7 linked regions of the Callithrix jacchus genome follow. The main gene of each other region encodes a partner of the protein of the gene in region 4 in a complex. Links are inferred from orthologs where the notes say so. Each region holds a gene or a part of one and is shown on either strand. Other genes may lie near its edges.

The links.
Region 1: STX7 (region 4) and BET1L share a complex: the UniProt entries of both Homo sapiens proteins name them as parts of the SNARE complex. The link is inferred for Callithrix jacchus from reciprocal best matches to the Homo sapiens genes STX7 and BET1L.
Region 2: STX7 (region 4) and VTI1B share a complex: the UniProt entries of both Homo sapiens proteins name them as parts of the SNARE complex. The link is inferred for Callithrix jacchus from reciprocal best matches to the Homo sapiens genes STX7 and VTI1B.
Region 3: STX7 (region 4) and VAMP7 share a complex: the UniProt entries of both Homo sapiens proteins name them as parts of the SNARE complex. The link is inferred for Callithrix jacchus from reciprocal best matches to the Homo sapiens genes STX7 and VAMP7.
Region 5: STX7 (region 4) and STX5 share a complex: the UniProt entries of both Homo sapiens proteins name them as parts of the SNARE complex. The link is inferred for Callithrix jacchus from reciprocal best matches to the Homo sapiens genes STX7 and STX5.
Region 6: STX7 (region 4) and BNIP1 share a complex: the UniProt entries of both Homo sapiens proteins name them as parts of the SNARE complex. The link is inferred for Callithrix jacchus from reciprocal best matches to the Homo sapiens genes STX7 and BNIP1.
Region 7: STX7 (region 4) and STX18 share a complex: the UniProt entries of both Homo sapiens proteins name them as parts of the SNARE complex. The link is inferred for Callithrix jacchus from reciprocal best matches to the Homo sapiens genes STX7 and STX18.

The regions. Positions count from the first base shown.
Region 1 is NC_133511.1:131,726,067-131,730,118, forward strand, and holds the start of BET1L (BET1-like protein), read left to right. Parts: upstream 1-1,252; 5' UTR 1,253-1,319; coding exon 1,320-1,338; intron 1,339-2,510; coding exon 2,511-2,602; intron 2,603-2,872; coding exon 2,873-2,929; intron 2,930-3,046; coding exon 3,047-3,214; 3' UTR 3,215-4,052. Other genes in the region: RIC8A (chaperone Ric-8A), read right to left, coding at 179-262. UniProt on the Homo sapiens protein: Vesicle SNARE required for targeting and fusion of retrograde transport vesicles with the Golgi complex. Required for the integrity of the Golgi complex.
Region 2 is NC_133509.1:102,650,717-102,654,041, forward strand, and holds the end of VTI1B (vesicle transport through interaction with t-SNAREs homolog 1B), read right to left. Parts: intron 2,515-3,325; coding exon 2,453-2,514; intron 1,046-2,452; exon of another isoform or gene 832-1,045; coding exon 735-831; 3' UTR 501-734; downstream 1-500. Other genes in the region: ARG2 (arginase-2, mitochondrial), read left to right, coding at 69-274. UniProt on the Homo sapiens protein: V-SNARE that mediates vesicle transport pathways through interactions with t-SNAREs on the target membrane. These interactions are proposed to mediate aspects of the specificity of vesicle trafficking and to promote fusion of the lipid bilayers.
Region 3 is NC_133524.1:151,451,215-151,455,301, forward strand, and holds the start of VAMP7 (vesicle-associated membrane protein 7), read left to right. Parts: upstream 1-1,287; 5' UTR 1,288-1,410; intron 1,411-4,087. UniProt on the Homo sapiens protein: Involved in the targeting and/or fusion of transport vesicles to their target membrane during transport of proteins from the early endosome to the lysosome. Required for heterotypic fusion of late endosomes with lysosomes and homotypic lysosomal fusion.
Region 4 is NC_133505.1:139,118,048-139,121,547, forward strand, and holds part of STX7 (syntaxin-7), read right to left. Parts: intron 2,709-3,500; coding exon 2,615-2,708; intron 1,937-2,614; coding exon 1,799-1,936; intron 683-1,798; coding exon 630-682; intron 115-629; coding exon 18-114; intron 1-17. UniProt on the Homo sapiens protein: May be involved in protein trafficking from the plasma membrane to the early endosome (EE) as well as in homotypic fusion of endocytic organelles. Mediates the endocytic trafficking from early endosomes to late endosomes and lysosomes.
Region 5 is NC_133511.1:120,101,370-120,104,869, forward strand, and holds part of STX5 (syntaxin-5), read right to left. Parts: intron 3,172-3,500; coding exon 3,065-3,171; intron 2,900-3,064; coding exon 2,778-2,899; intron 1-2,777. UniProt on the Homo sapiens protein: Mediates endoplasmic reticulum to Golgi transport.
Region 6 is NC_133503.1:65,504,998-65,509,081, reverse strand, and holds the start of BNIP1 (vesicle transport protein SEC20), read right to left. Parts: upstream 2,801-4,084; 5' UTR 2,788-2,800; coding exon 2,704-2,787; intron 820-2,703; coding exon 727-819; intron 1-726. UniProt on the Homo sapiens protein: As part of a SNARE complex may be involved in endoplasmic reticulum membranes fusion and be required for the maintenance of endoplasmic reticulum organization. Also plays a role in apoptosis.
Region 7 is NC_133504.1:184,727,321-184,731,408, forward strand, and holds the start of STX18 (syntaxin-18), read right to left. Parts: upstream 2,801-4,088; 5' UTR 2,717-2,800; coding exon 2,549-2,716; intron 1-2,548. UniProt on the Homo sapiens protein: Syntaxin that may be involved in targeting and fusion of Golgi-derived retrograde transport vesicles with the ER.

The sequences.
Region 1 (4,052 bases), on a different chromosome or scaffold from region 4:
CCTACCCGTCCCTGCCACGCGTGCCCCCCCCCCCGGCCTCCGGATACAGCCCCTGCCTCGCTCTCCCACCCGTCCCTGCCACGCGTGCCCGACCCCGGCCTCCGGATACAGCCCCTGCCTCGCTCTCCTACCCGTCCCTGCCACGCGTGCCCGACTCCGGCCTCCGGCGGCGGCTCACCTCCTGGTTGTACGACCGCAGAGCTTCCATAATCACATCCTCCTTCCCCGTCTCCACGGCTGCTGCAACCGCCCGGGGCTCCATGGCGCCCCCGGGACCCGCCCCAGCCGTTCCGGGCCGCAATTCGCCGGCCCCGCCCTGGCCCAGAGAGCTCCGCGCCAGCGCGCATGGGAGGCCGGGACGGGGTGCGGCGTCGGGCGGCGCCTTCAGGGGGCGCGGCCTGGAGCCGAAGCGGCGGTTCGAAGGTTTCCAGACCCGAGTCGCCCTCGACCGAACTGACCCCTCTCCTTGTGACCCGCGCTTCTTGGGCAGGAATTTCCAACGGGAAAGGATCTCAGCCCCCACCTCGCCCTGCCACACACACAGCGCCGCCCCTGGATCTCCACAGAACGGATGGGGTGTGGAGGGGGAGCCGAAGTGGGGGACTTTTCAGTCCTGGGCCATCGGGTTCGTTAGGCGTTTGCTGGGGAACGCAGGCGAACGGGACTCCTAGGTCCATGCTTTCGCGGAGCTTTTGTTCCCGAGGGGAAGGCACACAAGCAAACACCAAAGGACACGAGGCTGTGCTTCAAAACGGGCAGCGAGGAAACGCTGCTTTTGCTGACACCGGACGACAGGAAGTGGCCGGGAACAGGGCTCCTGCTCGGGGGGGCCTGCTCCCTCCTCATGACGCGCCTGTGAATCCTTCCCCGCCGTTAGGACCTAACCCACGGAAGCGTCTATCCCACACCGTAGTCCTGGCACCGAGCCAACAGCCCCGCCCCGCCCTACGCTCACAGGAACAACAAACGTCACATCCGCGGTGGCGCACACCAGTAATCCCAGCACCTTGGGAGGCCGAGGCGGGAGGGCTGCTTGGCCCGGCAGGCGGAGGGTGCAGTGAGCCGAGATCGCGTCACTGCACGCCAGCCTGGGACGGTGCGGAAAATGAAAGGCACATCCGTGCCGCGCTCCTGCGACCGGCGGTTCCCAACTCGTAGCCCTCAGCCGGAAGTCAGCGAGTTCAAGGCGGAAGGGGCAGGGGCATATAGGGGCGTGGTCGCTGCGGAGGCGGGGCCGGAAGTCCTGCCCCTTGACTGCGCCACGTCCGAGGCGGCGGTTGCCGCGTCGGTGTCGGCGTTGAAGAGCCGGGGAAGGCACCATGGCGGACTGGGCTAGGGGTGAGCGCCAGAGAGCGGAGTCGTTGGGGGCGGGGCCGGGCCCGGCCGGAGCCGACGCTGTTACCTGCAGAGCCGCGTACGCCTGCCTCTAAACTGTCCTCGGCGGAGAGGACCCTGTCACGGGGGCAGATTCGGATCCTTCCGGGTCCGAGGGGGCGGCCTAGCCGCTCCAGCGAGGGGTCGCGCAGCTGCGGGGTCCCCCAACTCTCCGCCATTCCCTGTGAGATCGTTCTGCGTGGGTTCGGGGTGCGGGAGCCTCCGCATTCGGCAGGTCCCGGGGCCAGGCCCTAGGAGTACAGGCCACGCGTGCACCGTTGGTGTCCAAGCAGGCGTCTGCTAACTTGGGCCTCGATGGCCCCAGTCCCCCTCCCGGAGCCCGTGTTCTTGTCTGCAAAGTGGGATATTGATGTTTGCCTGTCTGTGTTGCACCCGTTGCTTACATTGAAGCTAGGCAGCAGGTGGTTCTCACCTACCTGATGTGACAGAAATTCCTTATCACCTGGCCCAGCCTATCACATCACAGGCCAGGCCGCTGCAAGCACTATGCTCTGGGTGTTGCGGGAAGCCCTCTGTGGGATGCAGACCAAGGATCCCTCTCTTGGTCGACCTCAGCTCCCATGGTGGGGAATTGGGAGCTTGGCTCAGACCTTTTTTTGTGCGGTAAAGCGCCTTCTCAACATTCTGTCCTGGTTCCTTGCCACCTCTTCAGGAGCCAGCTCTGAAGTCGCCCCTGTAGGAGCCTTCCTACTGCTCTGCTGGGTACTTTCCCCAAGCCTTTCCTACACTTTTACACAGATGGGACCTCCATGGATGCAAGTGTCACATCTTACCAGCATCCCAGGGCTGGGTGCAGTTTCTGCTACACAGTGTGGGAAACTGCTGGTTGCACCGAGCCTGTTGTGGGTGCTTGCCCATCCCCACCTGGATGTGTACACAGGGCGTGTGTTCACATGACATGCGCTTACTTACACACATCGTTCTTTATGCAGCCTGCCTCACATGTGCAAGATCCACCTGCTGGAACCTGGTTAGGGCCTTGTGTCTGCCACCTGCCCAGCAGACACAGGGCCCAGTCCCCCTGGATTTCCAACTCACCCAGATGTGGTTGGAGCGACGGGTCAGGGGCCGTGCTCACCGGTGGATGCAACCCCTCAGCCTCTCTCTCTTCTCAGGTCAGAGTCCTGGTGCTGTGGAAGAGATACTAGACCGGGAGAACAAGCGAATGACCGACAGCCTGGCCTCCAAAGTCACCAGGCTCAAATCGGTCAGTGGTGGTCTCCTGTCCTCTTACCTCTACCATGTGCCCTTGGGGGGTGGGGGTCAGAGGAAAGGCAGACGGCCCAGAGGAGTTTCAGGCAGTTTTCTATCCTCATGTGCTTTGTGGCTGTGCTCACCTGCATGAGGCCCCACCTGGACCTCTCTGCTGCTGCAGCACTCTGGCAGAGTTGTTGGCAGGGCTTGTCTGGTCTGGGGAGGGTGAGTGCTGCATTATGTGTCTGCTCTGGCCCAACCCTGCCCTCTCTGTGCTGAACAGCTTGCCCTGGACATCGACAGGGACGCAGAGGATCAGAACCGGTACCTGGATGGCATGGTAAGGGCCTGCCCCAACACTACCTGCTGTAGAGCCTGCAGTGTCTCCTTCAGCACTGGTGCGGGTGGGTGGTGAAATCACCACTTCTGTGTGATCTTGCTGGGATTCCCCCTTTAGGACTCGGATTTCACAAGCATGACCGGCCTGCTTACAGGGAGTGTGAAGCGCTTTTCCGCAATGGCAAGGTCTGGACGGGACAACCGGAAGCTTCTGTGTGGCATGGCCATGGGTCTGATTGTGGTCTTCTTCATCCTCTCCTACTTCTTGTCGAGGGCAAGGACGTGAACCAGTGGGAGCTGGTGTCTCTGGGTGCCTGGCGTCTTGGGCTCCAGAGAACTTACCTACAAAATACTCCTTTGAAATTACAATTGTGGGTTTGGAATCTTCTTCCTGTGGGGCAGGAGGCTGTGGCAGCCTGTGACCTGATGAGCTCATGTTGGCTGTGGAAGGGACTCTCTTTTGGGGAAACCAAGGGCCAGCCCCTCCCTCCTCCCCCAGGTGCTAGAGACACCAGCAGAGTTGGGGCCACAGCATGTCTGGAGGAGCCAGGTCCAAGCGCAGCAGCTGTTGAATCCCAGACGTAGCCACTTGAGGCCTGCAGCCTTTCTCCCAGCTCTTGGGACGCTGACATCTTAAGGCCCTATGGCTGTGTCCTTGTCTGGGTGAGGCCATGTCTGTGATCCAAGGTGCCTGGAGCTGACACAGGAAGGGACTGTGAACCCTGAGTGAGTGCCATCTCCTCCGACTGAGGCCTCTCAGCCTGGAGATGACGGTTCCTTCTGGCCACGGTTGCTAGGCATGGGCAGACCAGCGTGGGCTACTCTGCTGTGAGTTTTCTCTGCCTGCTCTCCAGTCCTGCGGATGAAGTGAGACCCTTGGGGAGAACTGGGGTGTGGATGGAGTGAACTGCAGCCTTGGCCTAGTGGCTGCGCCTGGATCCTTCTGGGTCATGTGACTGTATCCAGGAGCAGAAACTTGCGTTCTCAGGAGTCAGGATCAGCCCAGCACCAAAGACGTGTTTTCGGGAGAGCAGACCTAGAAGTGGGCCTGTTTGGCATTTCAGAGTCAGGCAAACCTGTGGATCTACACAGGAAGGTTCCTGTGAGGACTCCAGTTGCCGCCT
Region 2 (3,325 bases), on a different chromosome or scaffold from region 4:
CCAGTGGGATGACCCTCACTGAGTAGCAGCAAAGGAATCTGAGGTTTTGTTACACTTTGTTCTTCCAGGGTTGTTGTCGGCACTGGATCTTGTAGAAGTCAATCCTCAGTTGGCCACCTCAGAGGAAGAGGCAAAGACTACAGCTAACCTGGCAGTGGATGTGATTGCTTCAAGTTTTGGTCAGACAAGGGAAGGAGGGCACATTGTCTATGACCAACTTCCTACTCCCAGTTCACCAGATGAATCGGAAAATCAAGCACGTGTGAGAATTTAGGAGATACTGTGCACTGACATATTTCACAATGGGCATTCCAGAATTATGAGGCATTTGAGGGGACAGATACTAAATGGCTGTCTGGTCAATACTGCCTTAATGAGAATATCTGCATATTCTCACAAATGTAAAGTTTCCCTTCTATTTTGGTGACCAATACTACTATAAATGTATTTGGTTTTTTTTGCAGTTCACAGGGTATTAATATGCTACAGTACTATGTAAATTTAAAGAAGTCATAAACAGCATTTATTACCTTGGTATATCATATTGGTCTTGTTGCTGTTCCTTCACATTTAAGTGGCTTTCCATCTTTCCTTCCCTTCTCCCACAGTCTGGCTACACAGTGCACCCCTGAACTGTTAGCCCACAGCAGCAATATGCTTATTCTATCCACATCCCTAACATCATGCATTCACAAGGTCAAAGTCTGGTCCACAAACCCTTTTCTATAGGAAGTTCAATGGCTGCGAAAGAATTTGTAGTAAACCAGGCCTCCCAGGATGGCGAGCTCCAGTAAGATGATGATGGAAAGCAGCAGCTTGTTGGTTGTCACTCTACAAAGAAACAAAGTGGGGAGTAGTCAGAATTTTGGATAACCTACTTTGGGGTTTGACCTGGGACCAAGGCTGGATACTCTGAGGCTGTTTGTCTGATCACACAGCCACTTAGCAGGAAGTACATATAAGGTTCTTTAGCTGTCACTTAGGAATAATACTGTCTACCTCACAGTAATGTTAAACTGAGACAATAAAAACCAAAGCACAAAAATGATTTCTTGACTCTGAAATGTCTTCAAACAGTAGTTATTTCCTTTAAAAATAGCTTTTCTAGAAAGAGGGGTTATCGAGAAAAAGTAATCAAATATACATCCTGTTCAGAATGGGTCCTGCCCTAGGATAAAGTAACTTAGAAGCCTGGGTAATACCTTTCAATCCCTTGTAAACTTCTATTCCTCTGCCCTATTTTTCCCTTTGCTCTCCTATCAACCCAAATGGATATGTTATAAAGGTAGTACAGGAGCTTAAAAATCCAACCTCTGGTTCTCATGTTCACTCTAGGCTTCTTCCTCTTCCACAAAGAATTTACCACTGTAGAAAAATCTCACCCCTCCTGCTAGTTACATGACTGAGTTGTAGTTTTGTTTTATGCTAGGCCACCTGTACACAAGGTCACACACAATCCTCTCTTAAACCCAATTTCAACCTCAGTGGCAATATTTCTGCCCTGGATTTGTTGCTATTAGCACAAGGGTTTTGTTTTTTACTTTTGGTAAAGACTACTTTACTGGTGGCAGTTAGTACAATTCAAATATTGATCTTCAAAGAAGGGCTTAGAGATCTTCAAAAAGGGCTATTTATCAGACTAAGAGTCCATAGAGAGCTGAATGAAACTGAATTAAGTCACTGTGATGACTGGTCAATCCTGTTTCTTGGGAAATGAAACCATAGCCAACTGATGATGCATGGCATATGCTGCTTCACCAATTGAGAACCATGGTGGCTCTATATAGGAGGTCATCAGCTCCACCACCCTTTAGATGCCAAGAATTCCGTTCTCCTCCTGAAACAGCTTGTGTTTCCTGGAGCTTCATTTTCAAAATGCCTGTGTGAAGCAATGCTCCAGGTCCTCTGGGCAATCTGGCAGTGCCAGCAGATTCTACAGCATCTTGCCTCAGTTAATGCCCACCAACCCTGACAACTCCCTAAGGGTTTTATTTTTAAAAATCTACTTCTTGCTAACAAGACAGAACTTCCAGAAAAGGTGCTGACTCCCATGAAGGGCAAACAGAGCCAAAACACAAGTACTATGCAAGTGAAAACTGCTTTCTAATAGAGATTTTACAAATATATTTCAAGGAATAGGAAGCTCTGTTATTCCCACGTGCTGCGTTCTCTAACGAACATCAGCTGTGATTAAATGTCCTTTCAGTGGAGAAATTTTTCACTGCTCTAAGTCAAAGCAGTATATTCTTTTAACAAATGATTTTATCCTGAGCTACTTATCCAAGACCATATTCCTTAGTGTATTTCTTCTGATCTGCTGGGTAGCACTGAGTATACGGGGACTATCTGGCATCAACTGCTGAGGTGCTTTATTAGGACTTTTGTAAGTCACTATTTTAAGCTTTTTGGTTGAAAGACATTAAGACAAATTTCATGACTTTTAAAAACTTACTTTCTGGACATTGAACGGAGAATCTTTCGACTTTTGCTCAAGTTTTCACTTGTGTTTACCAGCTGAGAAGAGAAAAGAGTGATTATTTCCTTTCAAAAGTACATTCTGTACAATTTTAATATCCCTAGATTAACAGTGGGCATTAAGGGCTGTTGAAAAATTCCAAGAAATCAAGCCAATTTAAATGATGGCCTTTGCGTATAAGTAGAACCTGGAAAGGACAAGATATTTTAGTATTCATTAAGTAGGCTTACGAATCATTATATTCCTAGGTTGCTGCCAGGGATGGACTCCTGAGACTGAGCTAATCTTTCACTATGGCTACTCCAAAAGGGAAGCCTTCAAGTACAGCCAGCAGATTGGACAACCAGTGACTGCAGAGGAACTTAAGATCTGAATTTCATCAGCCAGATTTCAGGACAGCTTCTTGAGGTGGCATTTGCTTTTTGTTTTTGTTTTGAGAAAGAGTGTTGCACTGTCACCTGGGCTGGGGTGTAATAGTGCAATCTCGGCTCACTGCAACTTCTGCCTCCCAAGTTCAAGCGATTCTCCTGCCTCAGCCTCCCAAGTATCTAGGATTACAGGTGCCTGCCACCATGCCTGGCTCATTTTTGTATTTTTATTTTTTTAGTAGAGACAGGGTTTTCATTACATTGGCTAGGCTGGTCTAGAACTCCTAACCTCGTGATCTGCCTGCCTTGGCCTCCCAAAGTGCTGGGATTACAGGCGTGAGCCACCACGTCTGGCTGCATTTGTATTTGTAGGTTAGTGTGTTACTGCTTTTGGGATCTCGTTATCTTTTTTCTTTACCCTCTTAAGAGACAGTTACATTGAATTGTGAAAGGAATTAACCTCCATGGAACTTTCAACTGC
Region 3 (4,087 bases), on a different chromosome or scaffold from region 4:
CCAGGAAGAGTGTGAAGAATAAGAAGAGAAGATGGCGTAGGATAGAACCCTATGGAATGTGAACATTTCAAAAGAAAATGAAGAGCTGCCACAGAGGTAAGAGGAGAAGCGGGAGTGTATAGCATCTTGCATAGAGCTAAGAGAATAAAGGAGTTCAAAAAGGAGGAAATAAGGGCCAGGCGCAGTGGTTCATGCGTGTTATCCCAGCACTTTGGGAGGCTGAGGTGGACTGATCATGAGGTCAGAAGTTGGAGACCAGGAGACCAGGAGACCAGCCTGGCCAATATGGTGAAACCCCGTCTGTACTAAAAATATAAAGAATTAGCTGGGCGTGGTGACAGGCGCCTGTATTCCCAGCTACTCGGGAGGCTGACGCAGGAGAATTGCCTGAACCCAGAAGGGTTGCGGTGAGCCGAGATCGCGCCATTGCACTCCAGCCTGGGTAACAAGAGCGAAACTCCGTCTCAAAAATAAAAGAAGAGCTTGACTCTGATTCGGCAACAGGGAATAGGGATGGAAGAGGGATGGGTTTAGATCAAAGGAGAGTAGTAGTTATCATTATTATTGCTAAAGAATGGGAGAAAGGATTGGTGAGGGGTACAAGAAAATAAGAACATTTCATGGCAAAAATAGAGGCACTTCCTGTCAGCTGAATTCTATTTTGTCGGTGAAGAAACAGGCAATGTTGCCTACTGAAACTAAGCAGGAGAGACGGGGCAAGCGTGGCTCTTCATTTATGCCGCCTACTCACTGCTGGTAGAATCTTTTCTTTCTTTCTTTCTTTCTTTTTTAAGACGGAGTTTCTCTCTTGTTACCCAGGCTAGAGTGCAATGGCGCGATCTCGGATCACCGCAACCACCGCCTCTTGGGTTCAGGCAATTCTCCTGCCTCAGCCTTCTGAGTAGCTGGGATTACCGGCACGAGCCACCGTGCCCAGCTAATTTTTTGTATTTTTAGTACAGACGGGGTTTCACCATGTTGACCAGGATGGTCTCGATCTCTTGACCTCGTGATCCACCCGCCTCGGCCTCCCAAAGTGCTGGGATTACAGGTAGAATCTTTAGCCTGCATTCTCTCATTTGCGTGGATCCCTATACGGCGTTTGACGTTGTTTACGGCCAGAGCTGTCCCCGGAACGTGGCCAGTCGGAACTACTACTCCCGGAATGCACTACGGCTCCTGGGAAGTGCGGGGGGGGCGGGGCTGGGAACTTAGCAGGCCTAGCCCTGTTGCCTGCTGCCATTGGAGGAGCGCTCCCATTCCCAAGAGGCCACGCGTAGGCGGGGCGCTTCACGCGGAAGTTAGCGGCGTCGGGTCCCAGCCTCCTCTGGGAGCGGGCAGTTGGCGACCCTGCGCTGACCCGCGCCCCTAGGTCCCGAGCCCGCGCGCCCTCAGAAGGTGCCCGGACAGGTAAATGGAGTGGGGCGCGCTCTGTGGGAGGCGGAAACACAACTGCGGAGGGAGAGGGAAGGTGTCGACGGAAAGGTGCTGGGGTGGAGCGGGTAGGCAGTGTAAGGGTGACTTGGGCTTCTCTGGTGTACACAGTACCGGTTGTCGGGCAGGTCCGGTTTCGGCGAGGTGCGTCTTTTGCCGCTGGAAAGGCCTCGAGTTAAAAAGAGTGTCAGAATGCGTCACTTAAGCTGTCATTACAGGAGGGAAAAAATGTTAATTTTCTCTCAGTTTGCATTCTACAAGACTTTTCTGTACCATTTAAATCGCTTGAGATCGACCGAGTCTTCTAAAAACTCTCTGCGTCCTTATTCGATGACGTCACTTTCCGCTTCACCTACTTCTGGCTGTTTATGCTCCTTCGTGGGTTCCTGGCCCCTTATTCACCCTTCCTCCACTGCTCATTATTGACAGTCCACTTCTTCCTCTGTTTGGCTAGGAACTGTATCTCCGCCTAGACCTGTTTCCTCATCTTCAGACCTGTTTGGTGTTTTTATTAACCGCCAATGTTTATCAAATTCTGACCACGTGCTAGCGTCTTTGGTAAACGCTTTACATCTCCCACTCCCATAACTCTCACAATCAGCTGTCTTCATTCGGCCTCATTTATTGCTTTCAACTACCTGTATCTCCATTCTCCCTCCCTTGATCCCAGAGATACAGCCATGTTAGGGATATTAATTACCTTTGAATACTTGTGGCTGAGAGCAGATCCATTCGTATGTTTAACAAATATTTATTGAGTGGCTGATCTGTGCTTGACACTCTTTTTTTTTTTTTTTTGAGACGGAGTTTCGCTCTTGTTACCCAGGCTGGAGTGCAATGGCGTGATCTCGGCTCACCGCAACCTCCACCTCCTGGGTTCAGGAAATTCTCCTGCCTCAGCCTCCTGAGTAGCTGGGATTACAGGCACACGCCACCATGCCCAGCTAATTTTTTGTATTTTTAGTAGAGACGGGGTTTCACCATGTTGACCAGGATGGTCTCGATCTCTTGACCTCGTGATCCACCCGCCTCGGCCTCCCAAAGTGCTGGGATTTTACAGGCATGAGCCACCACGCCTGGCCGACTCTCTTTTTAAGTGCAGGGGATACAGCTGTAAACAAGACTTAGGTTGCTACACTCAGGAACTTACATGTTTGTGTCTAGAGGGGAAAACAGAAATAGGATTATGTTATATATTGCCTAATGTGAAATAAAACAGGTGGTTGACTTGAAAGGGTGGGATCCTATCCTAAGAAAGTCAGAGAGATTGGATTGGGTCTCAGAGCATCATCCAGAAAGAATAGTTGTAATACTAACAGGAATAATCTTGATCTATAACCTGACTTCATAAACACCTCTCCTTTTCCCCTTTCTAAGCAGTGTTTATTCTTCATTTTTTCTATCTCCTCCAAGCTTATTGCATCCGAATTCTTGGTTTATCTGTAGTTACTTTATTCTTTCTAACTCCCAGATGGAAGAGTTGGGGATTGGATTACTGTTAGCTCAACTGCTTTATCTTACTTCAAAAGGTGATTTGGTTGTGAAAATATTATTCTTACTAGGTCTTTCTGAATATAAAGTTATCTATCATTTATAGTGTATTTAAAACCAAAGTATGCTCAATGTTCACTTACTTATTCAACAAATACTTGAGGGCATGCGCGGTGGCTCAACCCTGTAATCCCAGCACTTTGGGAGGCCGAGGCGGGTGGATCACAAGGTCAAGAGATCGAGACCATCCTGGTCAACATGGTGAAACCCCGTCTCTACTAAAAATACAAAAAATTAGCTGGGTGTAATCCCAGCTACTCGGGAGGCTGAGGCAGGAGAATTGCCTGAACCCAGGAAGCGGAGGTTGCGGTGAGCCGAGATCGCACCATTGCACTCCAGCCTGGATAAGAGCAAAACTCCGTCTCAGAAAAGAAAAAAAATACTTGAGGGAAGGTTAACTGCTAGGCACCGTGCTGAGCACTGGGAAAGTAGGGTAAAATAGACACTTTGGCCTCTCTTCCACGGAGAAATAATCCTAACAGTATAGTGAGGAAATTCCTAAGGCATAAGCTGATACCTACATTCCTGTTATTCACCCAAGGTGAGATCATCACAAAGCATTAAGAAATTTCCTGAGTGGTTGTGGACAGTCTTAGATTATTCACTTATTACACTTTATCACATTTATTTATATCTGTCTTCCTCATTGTACCATGGCTCCCTCAAGTATAGGAGTCCCTTCTTCATCAACTTTATACCTCCAGTGTCTACTTTGACTAGCATATAGCAAGCCCTCAGTACATATGTGTTGAACTGAAATAGAAAAACTCCATATCTGATCAAATTTAAATGACATGATTTATACAAGACCTTCTCTATGTAAGGCCATCAGCTGTATTCCTCAATCTTGTCATTCACCAAAGGTGGACCATTCCATCTCATCAGGCTAGTTTATGTACCTTCTTTACCTTGTTCTCACCTCTATGCCTTCTCTTGTTTCATCCGTTCCTCCTAAAATGATCTCCCATCTCTTCCCGAGCACCTTGTCTACCGCCTTACTTTAGTGGGCCAGTTAATTTAATGGTCTGCTCATGATACAAGAATGGAGGCCGGGCACGGTGGCTCACGCCTGTAATCCCAGCACTTTGGGAGGCCGAGGTGG
Region 4 (3,500 bases):
TATAATGTAAGGCTTACTTCAAGTTGCCTGATAGAAGACTCTCTTTCATGAATAAGGCGGAGGTCATCCTCTGTAATTTCTTCATCCTGCACCTGCACTTGAGGTTGAGTTTGGCTAACAGAAAAAAATGAATGTGGAAAAAAACAAAGATTGGTTGGTATTCAAAACAATGAGACTCATTTCCTATTTAAGATATATTCATTAAATAGGAGATTTTATTTTTCCAAGTCACAGAACTTCTCACTTAAAAAATTCTAAGACTATAATAATCAAATTTTACTCATTTTTCATTTCACTTATATCATTTTATCTAATATGAGTTTAGTGTTATTACTTAATCATTGGAAGTTATATTGGGCAACTGGGTATTTCTTCTCACCTGACTTAAACCTCATATAAGGGAATGTGTCTATTAAGTCCATAAATATTTATTTGGAAAATTTTATATATAATAAATACTTTATAATTAGTGAATTTGTTTTTCAAACTTACTCTCTGTTTTCAATGTATAAAAAACTTAAGGTATTTATGATATAATATACTGAAAGTTTTAATTCTGTTCTAGGGACCTTAATGTATAAACTTTGAAAAATTACCTTTTGATCTGTAAAATATTTTCTATTTCTTACCTTTCCCAGGATACAAGATTCCTTTCTTTTGAGCTGTCCTCAGGAAAACCGCCCTGAATAATTTAGTAACAGGATGGAATGAGAAGGGGCAAAGAGAGGAAAAATAAGAAAAAATAAACAACACTCATATTTTCCCTTATGATAATCTAAACTGATTTACATATACGTGCACGCGCGTGTGTGTATGTGTGTGTGTGTGTTTGTGTACAGAGAGAGAAAGACATTCTTGTTTTAATTTTTCAGGTCAACTGTTTCAAGTAATAATATAATTATAAGTAATTTTATATTCTAAGTAGACAAGAAAGGAATTGACTAAATATTCTAAAGTGTTAGAATACTAAATATTCTCAAGTATTACTTGGTTAAAGCTTAATGCAGTCTTGGAATCCGTATGTTAAGGAATAAGAAAACAACTCATGATACTTTATAAGGGAATTTAAAATTAGATTAATTCAAAATTCTACTGAAAAGTTTCATTTATTTTCTCCAGGCTCATGTTCATTTTCAATATTCATACAACATACTTGCACCATTCATCTTTGTCATCTTGGTGTAATCCAGGAGGAAAGTGCTTTCTATATTAGTGTGTACACAAGCAGAAAGCCTCAGTGCCAAGACAATATGAGAATACTAATGAGGACTTGATCCCTAATCTTTTCTGACAAATTATGTCTCTAAATTTTTACATAATCTATAATATTCTATAAAATGACACAGAAAAAATAACCATAGTAATACATAATTATCATCCTTCTCTAAAAATGGAGAAGAAAAGCATAAAAATAAATATTCAAGTGCTGATTTCCAAGATATTCACAGATCGTATGCTACTACTGACTTTCATGGGCCCCTTAGAAAGTAATCATGTTTGGGAGGCTGAGGCAGGTGGATCACGAGGTCAATAGATCGAGACCATCCTGGTCAACATGGTGAAACCCCGTCTCTACTAAAAATACAAAAAATTAGCTGGGCATGGTGGTGCGTGCCTGTAATCCCAGCTACTCAGGAGGCTGAGGCAGGAGAATTGCCTGAACCCAGGAGGCGGAGGTTGTGGTGAGCCGAGACCGCGCCATTGCACTCCAGCCTGGGTAACAAGAGCGAAACTCCGTCTCAAAAAAAAAAAAAAAAGTAATCATGTTTATTTCTAGAATGTCTCTCTAAATACTTACAGACACTCTGGAACTGGCTCTTACTCGAGCAACAAACTCTTTCTCTCGCTCAGCAGCCTGCCTCTGGACCTTCTGGAAGTTTGTCAGTGATGTTGTGAACTCTGCCACTAAGCGATCTTTCTGTATTTTCCTTTGACGCTAGGGGTAAGAGAAAAAACAAGGCCAAGTAGAATCAAGCTGTGAAGTTCAACAGAATTTGGTAGCTGTTTTATCATTAGCTGGCTCTTTATCTAATCCTGAAGTTTTCACTTACTCCCCAATTACCAGGCCTTACGGATTAACTCTCAATAACATTCTGACAGTATGTCAAACACTGTACATATTTAACTTGAGGCAAAAGACCCATTGTGCTGGATTTGTCACCTCAAGTTTTCACGCTGCTAAACACTAGCTCATGATTTTGAGCCTATTTTAAGCAATTCCTTTTTAGACAAATAAAGCCTTATGCTTTTAGCTAAGTAATAACTTCCATTGCATAAGCAGGGAAATAAATATGTTCCCCCAGGACACCTCACATGCTGAATGAGTCTGCACGTTGCATGAAGTCAGACCTGGGAGGCCAGGAAATAATTACTCAGGAAGCATTTTCTGAGAACTTACTTAATTACGGGTCAGGGCAAATGCATGGAAATAATTTTTGCTTTATTGAACCACAGGATACTACCTGAGCAATTAAATATAGTTTTGTGTTCTGTGAACTAATGTCAAGCAGAATTATTTTTGATTTCCTTTTTAGCATAAGAGTTCAAAGATCCTACAATGCATTTGATTTTTTTCACATTCAATACATCAACAATGGGTCTTAAAGCTTCATACCTGTTCACTGGGGGTGGTGGGCAGAGATCCAAACTCTTTAATGTACTTGTCTGTTTCTTTGGCAAGCTGGTTAGTATACTGCTGCTTCTGTTGCCTGAAGTGAGAAAACACACATTATGGCCAAAGGATTAATATACTTCTTTAAGCTGCAACTCTGCCATTTAAATCAACACTGACAAATAGTTGTATAAAAATTGCCTTTGCATAAACTGGCTCTGAACTTCGTAAAAAAAAATTCATGTCCTTTTCTTTGATAAATATTGAGCAAATATTGTATGTCAGGTTCTTCACTCACACAGGTTAGCTGAGCTTAGAGAAATAAAAATCAATGACCATTTAGAAACAGATGAATCAAGTCAGAGGAAACTTGAAAAGGAGACTGTTGGACGTCTGATCCTTTAAGTTTGAGATATTGGGGATGTGGGAGCCTTTTATCCACATCTCACACCTGGAAGGTGAGGTGAGCAAGAAAAGATTTGTTGCCTTAGACTGTACCTCATTCCCAGATCTTAGTTATATCTGGCCTCTCCTATTTCTCTATATGACCATGTATATGCTATAGATACTTAAAAAAAAAAAAAAAAAAGGCCCAAGCTTGCCGGTTCATGTCTGTCACCCCAACACTCTGAGAGGCTGAGGTGGGCAGATCGTCGTAGGCCAGGAGTTTGAGACCAGCCTGTCCAACATGGCAAAACCTTATCTCTACCAAAAACAACAAAAATTAGCCAGGTACAGTGGTGCACATCTGTAATCCCAGCTACTTAGGAGGCTGAGGCAGGAGAATCACTTGAACATGGGAGGCGGAGGTTGCAGTGAGCTGAGATCACACCACTGTACTTCAGCCTGAGCAACAGAGGGAAACTGTCTCAAACAAACAAATAAACAA
Region 5 (3,500 bases), on a different chromosome or scaffold from region 4:
ACTTAGGAAACTGAGGCAGAAGAACCACTTGAACCTGGGAGGCAGAGGTTGCAGTGAGCCTAGATCCCACCACAACTTGGGCAACAGAGCAAGACTCCATCTCAAAACAAACAAACAAACAAAGTTAAATGTATTTGGCCGGTTGTGATGGCTCACATCTGTAACCCCAGCACTTTGGGAGGCCAAGGAGGACAGGTCCCTTTCGGCCAGGAGTTCAAGACCAGCCTGGCCAACATGGCAAAGCTCCTTCTCTACTAAAAATACAAAAATTAGCCATGCATGGTGGTACACACCCGTGGTCCTAGCTGCTCAGGAGGCTGAGGCATGAGAATCACTTGAACCTAGGAGGGGGAGGTTGCAGTGAGCCAAGATCATGCCACTGCACTCCAGCCTGGGCAACAGGGCAAGGCTCTGTCTCAAGCGAAAACAGAAACAAAAGCAAACCCCTGCAACGACTCCCGATGGCACTCAGAGTGACAGCTAAAGCCTAACAAATGTCCTAAGAGGTCCCACAGTTTCCCTCTGACCACACCTTGTACAATTCTCTTCCTCATTTATCCCATCTGCAGTGGTCTCTGCGGTCCTTTAACTCATCAGACCTGTAGGCCTTTATGCTGGTTCTTCCCTTTGCCAGGGTCTATGTAGTTAATTTCCTCACCTTCTCCCAAGTCTGATGCCACCTTTTTTTTTTTGAGGCACGCTCTCACTCTGTCACCAGGCTGCAGTGCAGCGGTGTGATCTCGGCTCTTTGTAACCTCTGCCTCCCAAGTTCAAGCAATTCTCCTGCCTCAGCCTCCTGAGTAGCTGGGACTACAGGCATGCATCACCACACTCAGCTAATTTTTGTATTTTAGTAGAGATGAGGTTTCACTATGTTGGCCAGGATGGTCTCAATCTCTTGACCTCGTGATCTGCCTGCCTCGGCCTCCCAAAGTGGATTACAGGCCATCTTCTTTTTATTTATTTATTTTTTTTGAGACGGAGTTTCGCTCTTGTTACCCAGGCTGGAGTGCAATGGCGCGATCTCGGCTCACCGCAATCTCCGCCTCCTGGGTTCAGGCAATTCTCCTGTCTCAGCTTCCTGAGTAGCTGGGATTACAGGAACACACCACCGTGCCCAGCTAATTTTTTGTATTTTTAGTAGAGATGGGGTTTCACCATGTTGACCAGGATGGTCTCGATCTCTTGACCTTGTGATCCACCCGCCCTGGCCTCCCAAAGTGCTGGGATTACAGGCTTGAGCCACCACACCTGGCCCGATGCCACCTTCTTAATAGGGTCTACCTCCCTCCAAACCTGGCACTCTTGATTGTGTTGACTTTTTTTTTAACATACTATACTATTTATTATTACTTTTTCACATCTATCTCCCTACTAGGCTGTAAGTTCCACAAGGGCAAGGATTTTTTTGTCTTTTGTCTACTGCTATATACTCATGACCAACTGAATGCTAAGCACCACAGAGGAGGAGCAGATAAAACCTCTTGTCACAGCAGGAGGCACAAGAGGAACAGAGGCCAGCCCATTGTTGGGCCTCTGCCTACATCCCTGCAGTACACCCTGTACTTCTCTATCCCTGTTCATTACTTTCTAGCAACACTGGCCTTGTTGATTCTTGCGTACAGCGAGACTGTCTCATCATAAGGCCTTTTCTCTCGCTGTCCCCTTGGCCTAGAACGCTCTCTTTTCTTTGCATGGCTAGCCTACCCTCTTGCGATTCAAGTCCACTTAAATGTCATGTCTTCAGAGGAGCATTCCCCGCCACAGAATCTGATATACCTCCTCGATCACTTTCTTTTTTTTTTTTTTGAGATGGAGTCTCGCTCTGTCACTTAGGCTGGAGTGCAGTGGTTCGATTATGGCTCACTGCAGCCTCGGCCTCCTGTGATCAAATGAGGGAGGCCTCAGCCTCCCAAGTAGCTGGGACCACAGGCATGCACAACCACATCCAGCTAATTTTTTTTATTTTGTAGAGATGGGGTTTTGCCATGTTGCCCAGGCTGGTCTTGAACTCTTGAGTTCAAGCAACTGTCTGGGCCTCCCAAAGTGCTGGAATTAGAGGTGTAAGCCACCATACCCATCCATCACTTTCTTAACACATCATCCCTACTTTAATGCTCTGTATACAGCCCTTATTACTACCTGAAATTTTGTTGGTCAATTTTTAATTTTTATTTTTTGAGAGAGAATCTGGCTCTGTCACCAAGGCTGGAGTGCAGTAGCACGGTCTTGGCTCACTGCAACCTCCGCCTCCCAGGCTCAAGCCACCCTCCCACCTGAGCCTCTCGAGTAGCTGCGACTACATGCCCATGCCACCATGCTTGGCTAATTTTTGTAATTTTTTGTAGAGATGGGGTCTCACTTTGTTGCCCAAGCTGGTCTCGAATTCCTGAACTCAAGCCATCTGCCTGGCTCAGCCTCCCGAAGTGCTGCTTTTGGGATTACAGGTGTGAGCCACCATGCCCGGCCTAGTCAATTCTTTTCCACAGCTGTCCTCATCTGCTCTATCAAATTCCATACACATGTTACAAAGTAGCTCCACAGAGACTTTACTGTCCTATTTGCCACTATATCTCCAGCACCTGGAACAGTGCCTCACATGAACAGGTGCTCAATAAATACTTGTTGGGTAGATGAAAGCAGGTGAACTGGGTCCCCTGGGTAAGCAGGATTCACTCTATCTTCCAAGAGGCATCAAGCAATCCCTGGGAACTTTAAGATGCCAATCCATGGGGAAGAGAAGGCTCCTGTGTCTGGGGTGAGAGAGTGTGTCTCACCTCTGAATGGTTTCCTCCTGTTCCTTAACCATGTGTGCCAACTGCTGAAAGATGGAGCCCAGCTCAACAATTGTCGATTCAATGTTCTGCATGGTGTCTGCCCGGCTCTGGATGTAGGAATCCTTCAGGAGAGAGCACATGAGCACCATGAGCTTCTTCAGGGTCAGACCTGCATCTTTACAAACCGCCCAGCTTGCCATTCTGCCCACGGCACACTCCAAACACTGCCTTGGGAGTCACAGAGGATAATGGAGAAGCTGATTCTCCCAAGTTCAGAGGCTGGGTACCTGCTCGTCAATGAGCTGCAGCTGCTGGCTGGTCCGAGAGTCCATCATGTCGATGGCGACATCCTTGGAGGCACGAGACTCTGCCCCCAAAACAACAGCACCACCCCCTGGGGGAGAAAACAGGATGTGGCACATCTTAAGTTAAAAGGAGGATCAAAGCCCACATGCTCTGGGTTTGAATCCCAGCTCTGGCACTTACTAGCCTTGTGACCCTGGACAGGTCATTTTAACTCTCTGAGCCTCAGTTTTCTCACCTGTAAAATGGGGGATAATAATAGTTGCTTTCTCAAAGGGTGGTTGTGAAAATTAAATGAGAATGTGAATAAAGATAAGTGTACCAAACAATCAGAAATTATCATTCTTCTGGATATACCTACATTCACTCCAACAGTGAGAATGCAGGATCATGAATCTCAACCATCTGGTTCAGCCTAGC
Region 6 (4,084 bases), on a different chromosome or scaffold from region 4:
AAACAGTAGTCTTTACCTTCTGATTCTGATCTAGATCCTGAACTTGGAAACAATTAGAACCTGGATCCAAATTCTGTCTGAAAGAAACAGAATAGGCTGGGCTCATGCCTGGAATTCCAGCCCTTTCAAAAGCCAAAGCAGGATTGCTTGAGCCCAGGAGTTTAAGAAGCCCAAGCAACATAATGAGACTCCATCTCTATTTTAAAAAAAACAAGATTAGCCAGGTGCAGTAGCTCATGCCTGTAAACCCAGGCTGAGGCGGGCAGATCACGAGATGAGGAGTTCGAGACCAGCCGGGCCAACATAGTGAAAACCTGAAAACCCATTTCTACAAAATTACAAAAATTAGCCAGGCATGGTGGCACACACCTGTGGTCCAAGCTACTTGGGAGGCTGTGGCAGGAGAATCGCTTGAACATGGGAGGTGGAGGTTGTGCTGAGCTGAGATCATGCCACTGCACTCCAGCCTGGGCAACAGAGCGAGACTTCACCTAAAAAAAACTGCCACTCATTGACACAGCTGGCAGTGTTCTGCATGCAAAAGTTTCTCATTTTTACCTGGAAAGCAGGTTAGTACAGAGTCCCTCTTACTGTCGAAGTGTTTACTACTCCCATTAGCTGGTGTTTGAAGAACCCAGACAGCTTCAAGCAGAGGATATACCCAGGACTGAGCCCCTTCATTGGCTGAACTGAGATACTCAGCATCTCAGTTCTTAGAATACCCACCTGTATTCTGTGACGCAACTGTTGAAATTTCTCTTTTACTTTAGTGTTCAGTTCAGTAAGAGTACTTAAGGGTCCTGAACAATCACGGATATCCTAGGAGACATTGAACAGATAAGAGGCCTTTCTCAAGGCAGTGAAATGAAATGACACCATCCATAAAGTTAGAGTTGGTTTAGACCAACTGATATTAACGTACTGACTGTAATTCGTCCTGATCTTTGCTGTTTACCTCTGCAACATGGGCAAAAATATTATCATTTACATTTTTCTCATTCCTCTTTAATGTTAAAATTACTATAAAAGCCTAGAAAGAAACACAATTGCTTTGACCTAATTTTTAGTTCCTAAATTTTAATAAAATCTTATGTGGCCAGTATGAAAAAGCTTAAAACAGCTTGTATGCCCAACAAGAATGGACATGCAAAAGCAATACTATTAACTTCAGAATCTGAGATCCTTCCAACTTGAAGATCAGGATGCTTAAATATCTGGCATCATATGATGAGATTAACTTCTTCATTGTGATTTGACAAACCATCAGTGATAAGTCAGAGTGTTTATACAGACATGTTTAAGGGCAGATTTAGAATCTGTTCCTGGACATTCAGCAACAGATTCAGCAACAGCTGGTGCCAGGTTTCAGAGCAGGTTCTGGAGACAGACCATGTGGATTCTAATCCTGGCTGAAGCAACTTATTAGTTGTGTAAAGTTACTTGGAAAAGTTATTTAAATTCTGTCTCAGTTTAAATTCTCCCCCTCATTGCAACACTACTTATCTCACAGATCATAGATCATACATGCATGTAAAGCACTTAGCAGAGCAATGGAACACAGTAAGAGTGCAATAATACATCCAGCTATAATGAATCTTTCTTATCAGGAATCACAAGAACCCAAATGTTAGAAAGGGTACAGAAGGGTGCTTAAGCAATTTAGATTAAGAGAAAATGCAATTTCATTTGTATGAAACTTGTTTATTTTTCTATAACTGACCCAGAAGTTCTGTAATGTACATGTCAGAGAAGTGAAGTTCAATAAGTTTTAAGTATCTCCATCAAATTTCAATTTTTCTCTGGCTTACTCATTTAATCACACTTCTTTGCACCGTATGATAAACTACGAATTTGGTTTATTCTGCATCTGGTTTATCTGGGGAGCCCTACTTTCCTGCACTTTTGCCACACCTTGTTACAAACTCATTCTGAGTCTACATCTAATGTTTAGTGACTTCGTTGAAAATTATTTGCTTTAAACCAAAGTTTAAAACTCTTGGTTTCTTTTTGCTAAACTCATGGAACCGTGTCTACGTTCCTAATTCTTGCCTACATCAACTCGTTTATCTTACCTCTACCCTTAAATGGCTTAAGGCAAAGCATCTCATTTCCTATCCATACAAACAGATTAACACTCTAGGTGTTTTTCCTAGACTGACTTTCCCAGTCCAGGTCCCAGTTTTGCCATTGACCCAGATCTGCCTTCTAACCTGGGCCTTGGCGCTATATTCGATTTCCTCAAGCATAAAATCACAACTACGGCCCAGGTTACTTTGGTGCCTCCCGTGCCAGGTGGCAGGGGGCGGGGCTAGCGGCCTCCCGGACGCTACTAGGTGATGGGGAAGCAAATGTCAGAAGGCGGGGCCAAGCAGGGTGGCAGGTATGTTGTGAGGTGGTCACGGGCGAGGCGACGACTAGGGCAGCAGGTGGAGGGGTAAAGCCGAGCCGCGAAGCATGGGTCAGAGGCGGCGAACAGTGGGGCGCTCTGGAAATGGGCGATCCAGCAGCACTCGTAAGGAGGATCAAGGCCAGCAGTCACGGGGACAAGACCAAATGGGGAACAGGGGGTAGCCGGCCATGGGGCGGAGCCAGTGGCCTGAGAAACCAATTGGGGAAAGTTCCGCAGTTACACTGCCGCGCTCACAGACCAGCAGAGCTTGGGTCAGGGCTGCTGGAGCCCGGCAGGGGTCCCGGGATCAATACCTGAATAAGGGCCTTCACCTCCAGGTCAAATTTGACTATCTCTTGGTTACAGATCCGGACGTGGACATCTTGGAGAGCCGCCATGTTGGGGACGGACGCCGGCTACGGGCAGCGGCAGGGTCCAAGTTCAAACGCGTTTTCGCACCGCCTTTTTCCCTCCCCACCCAGTCTGCGGGCAGCGCCCCCCTAGAGACCGGCGAAAATGGCAAGCGAGGGTCCCTGCTTAACAGTTGGAACTTTACCTGACACGTGGAGGGAAATCAGCCTCTCCTCTTAGTAAGACCCTATTAACATGGAGAGGAGGATAAGAGGGAATATCAAGAACGCTTCACAGTGATCTCTTTCCAACTTCCTTCTGTCAGGCATTCTAATAACTACGTATTTTTTGCATAGAAAAAACAAAGATGGGAAGAAAAGTATCAATTGGGATGTCTCTGGAAAGTACAAGTAACAATTTTTTGTTTCTTTAAATTTTCTTATATTTTTAATATTTTCTACAGTGAGTATAAATTGTGGAGTAAAAGAGAAAATTATAAACGTTATATGCTTTTTAAAGTATGGAGTTCAAAGCAGGTCGGTAGAGTTCCTCCTAGCACTCCAACACGATTCTAGGGATCTTTGGAAAACGTGAAATTGATCAAGTCACCTCCCTGTATGCAGCCTTTCTGTGGTTCCTGATGATTCTCTTTTGTATACCCTCAACAAATCGTGACTCTTTTATTTTTGTTGGTAAATAATGCAACTTTCTTAGCTGGTTCTCAAGGCCATCAGCCACCCCGGCCACCAGCCACCCCATCCTGCAGGCACCCTTCTTGGATCCCTCAAGCTTTCTGGATATGTAGTCTTAGAATGTGGTGTTCCCTTTTCCTAGAATGCTTTTCCCCACTCGACCCCCCTCCATCTGCTTTTGTTCATGTCACTTCAGCAAGCATAGCTTGTGAAGAGCTGAATGCCCTAGGACCTGCATGTTCATCTCTTAATCCTCACAGCCATCCTTGAAATTGTACTACTAGTATTATAGATCAGGAGATGGGCTGAAAGTAGATTAAAACAAAAGAAAACAACCAACCCTGCCCCAAGATTACCCATCCTGAAAGTGTCACAGTCTCTACTGAAAGCCATCTTTTCCCCAAAAAATCAACATGGCCCCCACTTGTAAGCGGGGCTCTGTGCTTGTGTGTTCCTGCAGACCTCTACACACCCTCTCGTAAGGTACTCATCACCCCACTGCACCTAATGGAGAGGCAGTGTATCACAGGAATCATATCTGCCAGAGCTCAAATCCTGTCCACAGCATACTTTGCATGCCTGTGCCTGTGTCCTCAGAGGCTAACTGGTGGTAATCAATAGCACCTTCACAGGTTGGAGGATTGAGTAATAC
Region 7 (4,088 bases), on a different chromosome or scaffold from region 4:
CTACATTTCCTTAGGTCTGACAATCAGGGCTAAATCTGAATCAGGATATGTGCACCAGACTTTTCTGTATAAGGAATCCAGGCCAAACAAAATAACACCAAACTTTTGACACATCTAACTGTAGTGAAAGCACAGGACATCCATCACTAGTTCTTCTAGTTAAACTTTCCACAAGAAAAGATGCGGAGTGGGAAACAGTTGCAAGTATAGAAGATAACACACAAAGCAATGACAACAGAAAATCAAAACTGCTTAAAAGAATATATGTTTCCTCTAGGTCAGGGGGACTGTGTCCCTGAACAACACAGCCCATATACTCACTTGAGGTGATGTGACACGTACCCACATCAATACATAGCAGAATTGGAAGTTTCACTGCCATGTGGTCCAACCCTGTGACACATGGACAAAGTTCTTCTCAAACATCTCTAAAAAGCAGTCATCACTCTGTTTAATGACTTCCAAAGACAGGGAACTCAGCACCTTAAGGGACTGTTGCTGTTACTATCTCTGAGGCCCATAAACTCAAATGCCTAAAACACATTTTCACCACTCAGGGAGAGGTGGAAGTGGTTACAGGACTCTCCAAAGGGCTTGCCAACCCAACTGTTGCCTCTTGCCTCTCCAATTCCCAAATCCCCCCTTTCCTTGAGCAGGACTCAAAATTAGCACAGTGCTAATAAATCAGTGGTTTCAGAGTTAGAAGGGGCCCTTCAAAAGACAATATTATACCACAGTTCTACAAAAGGAACCCCAGGAAGTGCTTGGGACAAACTGGGAGTATAGGGAGGGAGAATGTCCTGTTTCTCTTCCTCTCATTTCAACCTAGGTAGCTCTCACTTTGATGTGTTATATAGAGAGGATCAAGGTAGTTTTTTAAAAGGAGGAGGAGGAAAAAAAAGGATCATTCACAGGTAAATAAAATAAGGTCTTAAAACTTGCTTAATGAAATCATGTAGCTAATAGTTGCACCGTCAGACAACAACCTGGTCTCTTGGCTCGCTCCATCTTTGGTGCTTTCTCTATCATATAACATCTGCCCACCTACAAGGCCAAATTCAAACTCTGCAGTGATATACAAAGCCCTTCAAGATCTCCCCCTGCTGCCACTCTATTCCAATTTTTATGAGAAGTCCCACATTCCAGTCCCACTCAAATGTTTATGAACCAACTTATGTCAGACAATTACCTACCTCCAGACCTTAGCGCACACTATGCTCTTAGCCTGAGATGCCCTTCCCCACCTTGTCTGTACTGAAACCAACTAATCCTCTTTCAAGACTTGTTTGAAGCATCATCACCTCTATAAAGCCTTTTCTGATCCTCAGGTAGAACTGACCACATTCTTCTTTGTGCCCTACACAACACTTACAGGGCTTTACAGTACTTGTTTTATTTCTATGTCCGTATCCTCAACCACTCCTTTTACATCATGTTACTCTAACATGAGGCTGGTCAAAAGGTAAGTGCTTCATAGATGTTCATCAATGGGGTAAGTGTATTCATCTGGTCCAATCCCCTTTCTGAGGTTTAAGTATCTTCAGCTAACTGTCATTAATGCACGCATGCATACATTCATTCAAAAATATCTGAATGTCTATACAGTGCCAAGTGCATGCCAAGCAGAGGTAGATTTAGCGTGAAATTAATGAAGCTTAAGCTTCAGGGTCCCTCACTTCAAACTTCCAAAGCTCTCAACCTTTCTTGGCGGTTTTCTTCTTAAAAAGAGGAGACAGAATTATATAAGCTTTAGGCCCCACAAAAACTAGATCCCCACTTGGTGTCACATATACAATAGGGAACAAGACAAACATCTCTCCCGTTGTGCAGTTTTCTGCCTCGTGGTAAAGACAGCCATTTATTCATTCATTCATTCAACAGACATTTACTAAGCAATGCTGTATAAGTCATGCATTCTGAGATGAAAACAACACTGTCCCTTCCCTTAACGAAAAGGTTCCTAGTCCCAGGGAGATGAAGGAACACCTGCTCTGTCCAGGAAACAGAAAGTAGTTGAGATGACTTAACACTGTGAAAGATTATCCTAAACCTGTCTCAAGCGGAACTGAGTCCTACTTATTGCGAAGACAAAGTAAAGAAAGAGTTCGGTTTAATACGGTTTTAATCTCAACTGGGGGTGGGAGGCAGGCAAGCAAACAGAACAGGCAAATACAGTGTGGTCAGTGCTTCGACAGGAAGCGAAGGACTGTGAGGAAACTTCCCGAGTGCAAGTCTGTAATGACAGCGATCTCATGACCTCACAAAGCCGCCCATGCACTTTCCAGATAGAGATTTCTGAGCGTCTTCTTCTTCGCCCCCTAAACCCCGCCGCCGAAGGAGAAATCCGTTCCCCAATAATGCGTCCCCCTTCCTCAAAATAAGGCTGCTCCTTCCCCCAGAAGCTGTCGGCTGAGGCCAACTGTACTGTCCTCCTTGGGGCCACACTCTTTACACAATGCTTAAGGGACGAGGTCTGGTTTGGGGCCTGGGGTCCCTGTCGCAGGTCTGTCCCCTCCTCAAGCCGCCGTTTCCATAGCAACCAGCTTACCACTTCGCGGGCCCGGCTGGAGAAGTCGCCCTTGGGCCTGGGGCTCCGGCGGAACAGCTCATCCCGGCTGCCATCGACCCCGCCGCCCACCGCCACTCCCAGCGCCTTGTTCCGCGTCTTCACGGTCTTGACGCTGGCCCGGAATAGCAGCGTGATATCCACCGCCATAGCGACCCGCACCCGCAGCCCCAAACGGGACCCGCCCACGTCAGCAGCCAGCGACCGCGGCGCTAATCCGCCAGCTAGAGGACTGGTCCTACCCCGCACGCCTCCCCCCGGCAACGGTGGCGCGAGAAGAAAGGTTCCGGCCTGCGCCCGGCTACCGCGGCGGGAGGAAAAAGGTTCCGGCCTAAGCTGGCGCGCCTAGAGGAGGAGGGACCCGGCAACGTGCTCACGGGTAGTCCCTTCTCCAGGCAAAGCTTGGAGGGTTTAGCAGCACGGAGAGCTCTCCTATGTCTGTCTGGGGCTTGTGGGCTCCGGGAGCATAAAGACCGGAAAGCTGGGAAGTTCCTTCCCTTCTGGTGGCTCCCTCACTGAGCCCGGACGATTTGGTTGCGGGGGACGCGAAGGCGAGACCCCCTTGACCTTTGACTGCAAGGACTCACCCTGAGCATGTCAGAGGCACGTGGACGGTGACCCTCGGGGTGCAATAAGTGCTGGGACAGAGCAGGTGTGCAGGGCACAGAGCCAGAGGCCTTTGTTCTCCAGCCTTCCGCCACCTCTTCTGTAAAGGGAAGCCAGCATCCTCCTCGGAGTTTACTGTGAAAATTAAATGACCCGACGCGTGCTGTTTTGGTGTTTCTTGGCTCCCAGTAAGTGGCCAATAAATGGTAGTTATCGTTAATATGTTGTTATTATAATAATAAAAACATATTAATAAATGTTATTAATAAATATTATAATTAATAAATATTATTATAATCTTATTTGTGGTGAGAAAGAGGCTCTAGAGAGAAGGCGTCACCTGTGCAGAGATTTGAAGGATGAATAGGAACTTTAGATGGAGACAGAGGTGAAAGGGTGACCCTAATGCCGCTGGATTCTGTTCATCCTTCATGCATAGTTTTCAAATCTTGAGTCATAAACAATGACAAGTCAGTCAATGAGTTTCTTCTGCATTTTTTGGTTCATGGTTCTGGGGTGTGTGTGTGTGTGTTTAAGATGGGGGTCTCACTATGTTGCCCAGTGAGATTACAGTGGCTGTTCAAAGACGCCATCCTAGCTCACTACTCACTGGAACCCCAGGGCTCAAATGATCCTCCCCCGCTCCGCCTCCTGAGTGACGGGGACTTTGGGCATGTGCCACCTTGCCTGGCCTATGGTTCAGTGTTAAAACAAAATCTCAAGATTTTTTTTCATAAAGAGAATGCACAAGTAGAATATGTGTTAATGCAGTGGTTTAAATGGTCACCAATATAAAACTCTTTTCATAATACTAAGACGTTACTTGCCTTTTCACTCTCACTTCCTCATGAGTTGTATACACTTGAGTTTGTTAGAGACTGTGTGTGATATTGCAACGGAATGAATGCAGAACAGC